Macaca mulatta: one gene and its partner. The protein of the gene in region 2 interacts with the protein of the main gene of each other region in a biochemical or structural test. Links are inferred from orthologs where the notes say so. Each region holds a gene or a part of one and is shown on either strand. Other genes may lie near its edges.

What was found.
Region 1: the proteins of NUB1 (region 2) and UBD form a complex in vitro, tested with the Homo sapiens proteins (6 studies listed by BioGRID, with this or other methods). The link is inferred for Macaca mulatta from reciprocal best matches to the Homo sapiens genes NUB1 and UBD.

The regions. Positions count from the first base shown.
Region 1 is NC_133409.1:153,782,232-153,786,614, forward strand, and holds the start of UBD (ubiquitin D), read left to right. Parts: upstream 1-1,525; 5' UTR 1,526-1,891; coding exon 1,892-1,918; intron 1,919-4,383. UniProt on the Homo sapiens protein: Ubiquitin-like protein modifier which can be covalently attached to target proteins and subsequently leads to their degradation by the 26S proteasome, in a NUB1-dependent manner.
Region 2 is NC_133408.1:190,801,114-190,804,740, reverse strand, and holds part of NUB1 (NEDD8 ultimate buster 1), read right to left. Parts: intron 1,425-3,627; coding exon 1,278-1,424; intron 910-1,277; exon of another isoform or gene 1-909. UniProt on the Homo sapiens protein: Specific down-regulator of the NEDD8 conjugation system. Recruits NEDD8, UBD, and their conjugates to the proteasome for degradation. Isoform 1 promotes the degradation of NEDD8 more efficiently than isoform 2.

The DNA of each region.
Region 1 (4,383 bases), on a different chromosome or scaffold from region 2:
GTAGCAGCCAAAGGTCAGAACATTAGTTTCTAGACACAAAGGGGTCACAGGGACCTGGAGAAAGATCTGAAAGGAGAATAGCAGAGGCCAGTGGTTCCTAATGTATTCCATTAGGCACTCTTCTGCTTTTTAATTATCCTGCCTGTGTATTAAAAATTATGTCTACTCCACAAAATACATTTAAATAATAATTAATGTTTTCAATTTTATTAGCTATCTAATAAAAGCTTCATATAGAAGAACATGATTTATAGTAAGCTTTTGAAGTAGAGAAATGAGCTGTTGCATTTTATTACTCTACATCAATCCAGTACTTCTGTAAATTCGATTCTCCAGGACAGAACCTCCTAGAATAAGATGGGGTCATTTGCGATCTGTCAGTGAGTGAAGGTACAGTAAATGCCTCTGCAAACAGAGAAGATAACTTGGCATTTTAAAGAGCTTCCTACTTTGAAAAGATTTGAAGCACTTGAAAACATACTTTTAGGCTGGACACGTTGTCCCACATCTGTAATCCCAGCACTTTGGGAGGCCAAGGCGGGCAGGTTGCCTGAGATCAGGAGTTCGAGACCAGCTTGGACAGCATGGTGAAACCATGTCTCTACTAAAAATACAAAAATTAGCAGGTGCCTATTATCCCAGCTACTCGGGAAGCTGAGGCAGGAGAATCACTTGAAGTCTGGAGGCGGAGCTTGCAGTGAGCTGAGATCGCACCATTGCACTCCAGCCTGGGCAACAAAGTGAGACTCCATTTCAAAAAAAAAAAAAGCTTTTAAAAACTGGTTCCATAGCAATGCCCTGAGAGTTTGGGAGGGGGCAGTAGTTAATTTGGGATACGAGGAGGATCAGAGTGATGGAGTAAACTTCCCCGGGACAGGCACACCTTTCTTGTCTCCATCTAAGTCTCAAGGGTGAGGGAGAGAGAGCGGCACCTTTAGGTTTGTCTGAGATCACAGTGGTGAGGTGCATCCAGGAGTAAAGGTAGAGAAATAGAGGCCCCGCAGTGTGAGAGTGGATGTTGATTGCTTTGTGTGTTGAAGTGAGGAGTCAGCATTTAATTGTTGGCTTAGGATTGTTCTCAAGTAGTGGATTTGGTTTGCAGGTTCTGGGACAGGGTAGGACGTATGTTGGAGAGCTCAAGACCCAGAAATCCAATGTTATTTTGCAAAGGGAATTTTACAAGCAAAGTTTTCTGAGCCTGGAAGACACTTAGGAATCTTTTCCAGTCATCTCATTTTATAGACTGGGAAACCAACATCTAAGGAGATGAATGGATTTGCCCAAGGTAATGTAGCAAGTGGCCCTCCTGGGACTCTAACTCGTATCTCCTCTCAGTCTGAGGTTATTTCTCCTATGTCTTCTTAAGGCATGTTTTACACCTTCTGCCAGACTAGTCATGTCAGGCTCACAGTCACAGCACTCCACACAATGCTGACTGCCGTATCCTGCCTGGGTGCTCTCGTTCTTAGGACGGCCCCTGAGTAATGGGGTGCTCTTAAAGGCAGCATGAGAGGTTCAGCAAGCATTACAGGTCTTCACGCCAGTGAGGGCCCAGGCCACAGGACGGACAGTAATAAGTCAGAACTGGGAGAGGAGGAGTGGATTTTTAATCAGGGAAAAGTTTTCAACACAGAAAGACCATCCCTTTTGGAATGAGGATTGCAAATAGATTGCCTGAGGGGAGAAGTACGTAATCAGAAAGCATTCTTTGTTTATTAACTCCTGCCCAGCAAAAGTGAAAGAAAATTCATGGGAGCATGCAAGAACAAAGGGCACAGCAAAGCTGGACAAACACAGCAATCCAGGAGGGGATTTCCAATTCAACGCTGGTATATAAGCTGGAGTTAAAATCCTTTTTCTGTCTCTGGTTTCTGGCCCCTTGACTGCAAAGATGGCTCCCAATGCTTCCTGCCTCTCTGTAAGTTGGGATTTGATAAAGGGGATGGGGAAAGGAAAAGCACTTTCAAGAGTTGGGGAGAGATCTTAGAAACGGGGGATGGACAGTACTCAGGGCTCTGGGTGGCTGGGCAGGCATCCTTAAGGGGAAGAGGCTGGCATTGACATTTGCAGAATGGGAAGAGGGATTGTCTGAAGAGAAGCTGGTTATCTGGCTTCTGTGTTCTTTTTTTAATCAAACATTGGACTAGCTACTCTTAGGGATAAATGGTAGAAAAAAAAAGTGGGGGTGAGCTTTGTGTTCCACAGGGCTGGTGAGATTTGAAATTATGGAAACATTTTTTAGGGTTCTTAAACTTAATCTTCTCTTTCCTCTCAAAGGAGAGCTTCACAAAACTCATTTATCTGAAGTTGTTAATGATCTAACACATTACATTATATAAGAAAGTATGCACTATGGAGAGAACCTGGAATTAAGGCAATGCTTAACACAGATCCTCCAGTGAAGAAATGTCTGCAATATCTAGATTGGGAAAATATTTCTGAATGGAGTATGAGGGAGGTCTTCTCAGGCTTTCAAGTGGCCATTAGGAGTGAGTTTTCCAGTCTTTTAGGGTTTTCCAGCTATTGAAGTAAGACTTAGACATAGTCCCTACCTTCTGTGAGTGAGGCCTTGGTCTAATCAAAGGAGATCGTATTCTATATTAGATAGATATAAAAATACAAGAAATATAAATTAACAAGAAACATTGAACGTAGTGTCACTGTAATATGTAAGTTATTATTGTAAAGCAGTGGGAGATTAGAAAAAAAAATAACAGTTCAGTGATTATGTGCCCTACCCAGGATTTCCTTCTGAAGTATTGACAGAGGGTATCCTATTGCTGTATCTTATGAGGCTGTCATATTTTAGAAATTCTCTTTGACAGTTGTTTTTAGAGTCTGGTGTACATCTTTTGAAGCTCTGTATTTACTTTTTTGACATTTGACAAACTTTATCTGGATAGGAGAGGCAGGTAAATAAGGTGGAAAACCTTTAATTACATCTCGAGATGAATAAAGGTATGTTTTTTACATCTATTGAAATGCACAGAAAAGCGAAATAAAAAATTGTCAACTAAAAAAAATCACACAATTTATAAATTTAGAAAGGAGACTTCATTTCTTATGAAGGGTTATAGTCTGCAAGGTAGCCATTCTAACAAGCTGAGAAGCTCGGCTTCTGGTTGAAAACCAAAAGCAAGCTTTGTAGGAGGAAAGTGACACAGGAATTTATGCTGAAGGGGTTTGCTAAGTATACATATCCAATAGGTTATGGCAGAGGCAATGAATATTCATGAAGGGAGTCCTAATGCATGCATGTTGAATAAGCTTGCATGTTATATACCACCCATGGTCACTCTGAGGTGGAGACTTAACATTTAATTGCATTACAGTTAGGCCTTATACATGAAAAGGCGAAGCAGGGACACAAAGGCATTCAAATGTGCAGCTTCTGTAGACTAGCCAGAACCAGTCCATGGTCAGTGGTCTCTTATCAGGAGAAAATTACTGAAATCAGTCATTTGTCCAATTAAAACTGTAGTTATGGCTTGAGGAACAGGGGGTCAGTTAGCCTATGGATGAACTGTAATTGTTTTAATATTGTTCCTCTCGAGGCCAGTGCTTGTTTAGCTGCTACAGAAAAAAGAAAAATACTTTGTGGCAGTTAGAACATAGTTTATTCTTTAAGTGTAGGGATGCATGACTTAACTCTTGCCTATTATAGCCTTAGGTCTTGTTTAAAATTTGCTACAAAAATCTTATTGCCACCAATAATCCATTCTTTCAGTCTTATAATCTCTAACGTTGCTAGTCAGTTGTGTCTAAACTGCAAAAGGGAGAAGATATAATGAGGCATGTCCAGCCTCCTGTTTCATCATGACTGAGGTATTTTATTTATTTATCTTTTTGAGACAGAGTCTCACTCTGTTGCCCCAGCTGGAGTGCAGTGGTGCCATCTCCACTTACTGCAACCTCTGCCTTCTGGGTTCAAATGATTCTCATGCCTCAGCCTCCCGAGTAGCTGGGATTACAGGGACTCACCACCACGCCTGGTTAATTTTTGTATTTTTAGTAGAGATGAGGTTTCACCAAGTTGGCCAGGCTGGTCTCGAACTCCCAGCCTCAAGTGATCAGCTTGCCTCAGCTTCCCAAAGTTCTTGGATTACAGGTATAAGCCACTGCCCTTGGCCCAATGACTAAGTTCTTAAAATTTCTCTAGGGTCCCTCTGAGCAAGAGAGGGTCCGTTCAATTGGTTGGGGGCTCAGGATTTTATTTTTCATTCTCAAGATTGAAAAAAAGGTGTGATTATAAAGGAATGGGACAAATTTTCTTATTTGTGTTGCAACTTGGTAATTCCAAAGGAGAAGTTCCAAGAAAGAGAGGGACACTGGCTACTGAACAGGAGCTAGGAGACCAGATAGATAGCGGAAGGGTGGGAGCCA
Region 2 (3,627 bases):
AAGGTCTCTTAAGCAGCTCAGGGCTGCCTGATTGATCTTTGAAAGTGTCATGTCCTCTAGACTTAAAATATCAGGCAGGTAGTAGAGTTATTTTGACCCTTGGTTTCTTCGTCACACAATACTTAATCTTAAAAGAGTCTGTGGAGACTTTCCTTTCCAACACTCAATACTTCTGTGTTGACTGGAGGTATTTATGTGCTACTCCTATAATTCCAATCTACTTCGAGACCCATCAGTCCCTTCGGATGTTCAGAATTTCCCACCTCTTCATATTTCTCCAACACAAAAAAATCAAAGTAGATATTCAAATACAATTTTAAAATTTAACGTATACATTAAATATACATATACATCATAACAGAAGTACTGACTTGTGGAGCCTTCCAGGGAACAGGGCAGGGATAAGAGACAAAGGCAGGGTGGACCCCCGTGCCTGCTGCACCCACACCCACCTCAGCAGGGCAAACGAGTACACCTGCCCTGCCCTCCACCTGCCTCCACCCCCATCTTGCCCCCAGCCCCGCCCCCAGCATGCACACAACCTAAGCTAGCTCCTGCCTGCCATGCTGCCCCAGCATCTGCCTGGACTGCTGCCTCCACGCAGCCAGCCCCCTGCCTCCCGTGCACCCCTGGGGACTCCCTACCACGCGTGCTCTGAGTTTGTCTCTCACTGAGCTGTGGGGCTGAGGGCAGAGGGCGCTTCCATACCAAGCTGCCGAGACGCAGCACAGCACCTGCCCTACTGAGGATTCCATCTGCTTCTCCAACACAGGGAAGGAAGCGGCCCAGGTAAAGTCACTGCTGTCTGGATCCCAACCTGCTGTCACTCCTGAGGGGTTCTTTGAGAAGCTTCCCCTTTGCCAACATGTACTATGGACTAAATAAATAAAACTAGATACTTAGTTAAAATTTTAATGCCAAACAATTATACTGCAAGTTGAATTACCATTCTCTTTTTCTGCTGTGGAAACGGCCTGTTTACACTACACTCTGCTGCACACACAAACCCTACATCAAGTCCTGGCCTGTGGACTCCGCTGGTGTGGACAGGCACCGTGTTCTGGAGCCAGGCCTGGGCCAGGCACTGAGCATGGGGCCTCATGGGGCCTCACATGGCCTCTGTTGGGGCTGGAGCCCAGGAAAAAGCTGCCCTTCAGATCTGATGACGGGCCAGCCCATAGGAGTGAGCCTGGGAGGACGCCCGAGAGCCATGGAGGGAGCTCTGGGCAGGACCCACTGCTCAAGGACAAGGCCAGAGGCCCCGAGGGAGCGGCTACCTTCAGGGCCTCGTCCAGGTTCCCGCTGGCTGCGTGGAGCGCCTGCTGGGCTGCGTGCGTGGAGTAGCCCATCCCTTTCAGAGACCTGATGTTCTCGAGGCGGCGTCTTTTCTTCTCTTTTTCCTCCTTCCTTATTTGGGCCAATTCCTTTAGGAAAACAGCAAAGTCCCATCCCAAGTTAGGGACTGAGATTTCACAGCATCTCAGTCTACACTCTGCAGGATTCTCGGGGTTTCCAGGCAAAGCCAAAAAACCAAAGCAAAGCACAGCAGGACCTCTGTCTACCTCTTTTCACCCAGCCAAATGGCAGAGGTGCCACAGAGGCAGAGGGGTGGTGGAAGTGCTGCTTCTGAGGGCAGGCAGTGGAAGTGAGACGCCTGTGGGGCAGGAAGGAGGTGCCTCATGAGCCCTGCCATCCGGCATCAGGATGGGCCACTCGCCCAGCCCAGCGCGCTCCCACTGCAGAGGTCGCAGGCGTGAGGTGCATGGATTCTCTTCTAGCAACTGGGCAGAAGAGCTTTCTGCATGTGGTGGGAAGGCCTTCCAGCCTTTGATGAATCGCCCAGGGACTCAAATTCAAATGTGATGTGGAGTCAGGGGGCTCCTGGGCAATGCCATGGTTGATGACCCACCCACCACAGCTTGGGGAGCAAGGACTCCAGGGCCTTCTGAGGCCTGTCATTCCATTCAGAACCCACAGAATGCCCAAGGGACAAAGGTCATCTAACCTCTTGGTTCTCAACCCTGTTTCTCAGAGTTGCCTGCCATTGCTGCAGGAGCACAAGGCGGCTGCATAAGGTTCTAGTCTCTTCGCCTCTCCCACCCAGGGCCAATCAGGAGGGTTCCCAACTTATTTTGTAAACTAGTATGCCCATAAACATGTCACTTAAAAAGGGGATTTTGCTGCTTAAAAACAACAACAAAGTAAGTTTGAAAACCAGGAATTTAATCCAACCTCATTATTTTCCCAACAAGGAGACAGAAAGCTTTCAACAAAGCTAAGTGACTGCCACATTCTCCCAGGGAGACCAGCTCCACCATCAGCAGCAGTGAGGACGGGGGAGAAAACAGACTCCCCTCCTTCCAGAGACCTGCTCCTGCCTCCCACCCAGCCCAGGCAACAGGCGCCTCCCTGCGTTTTCCCCACAGCAAGAAAGTGGCCTCATCTCTTAGGAAAACAAAAGCACCATCATCATGGAACCAGACTCCACAGTGCCACGGTAGGAGCAGGCAGAGCAGAGTGGCTGCTGGAAACATCTCCAGGGATGAAGATACCTGTACACTCATGGCCTGTCTCTATCACAGGAGAACCTCCCCTAGTTGGTGTACATGGGTGCCTCTCTGCACCCCGAGAATCCAGCTGCACCAGGCCTGTCTCATGCCCCCATTACGTGCTCTACCTCTCAGCGGCCAGTCTCCCCCAGCTCCAGCCCCACTGCACAGCGCAGTGGGCTCCGTCATTCCAGTCACCTACCTAAAAGCCCACAGCAGCTCCCGACCACCTCCCCACACTGAGGCACCAGCTCCTTATTATGCTACTCAGGGCTCCCACTCCCTAGCCCCAACAGCGCTTCCAAACTGACCTTATCCTGCCACACAACCCAACCACGCACGCCAGCAGGAGCCTTTCATGCCACTCACATTTGCACTTTTATTCACACTTACACTCCACATAAAATGCCTTTACTGGTCCCATCCTCTGCTTTCAATACAGTTTCTTCCATTTATATTCCAAAAGGCTATGAAGCATGCCTAACATCCAAGCACAGAGAAGGACGCTGCCAGCCAGCAGACCTGGGCATTACCTAACACAGACCTCACATCAACTGGGAGCTTCGAAGAACACTTCCTTTCATTACAAATGTCTTAGTCTGTTTCCTTTTAATCATGTAAACACACGTGAGAAAATTATTTTCTGATATATTTCTCTTTATACTAAGATGAGTTAGAAAGATAAAGTAGATCAATCAATGACAGTACTGCACTGAAGTGGCTACAGTTAAGTAGAATCAGATTTCAAGAGAGAGACATTGTATGGTCACAAGCAGCTGGGACAACCTCTTAGGAAGGCTGCCTCTCATAGTCTGGCCATACTGAAGCATGATCTGTGATCTCTGTTTCTACAGCTGTTGCTTTTTGCCAGATGAGAAACTGGTCTGTACTCAGGGCCATGTTGCACAAAAAATATAAACTTTAAAAATTATGTATTAAAGGCTGGGTGCAGTGGCTCACACCTGTAATCCCAGCACATTGGGAGGCCAAGGTGGGAGGACTGCTTGAACCCAGAAGTTTGAGACCGACCTGGGCAACATGGTGAGACCCCATTTCTACAAAAAATACAAACAAAAAT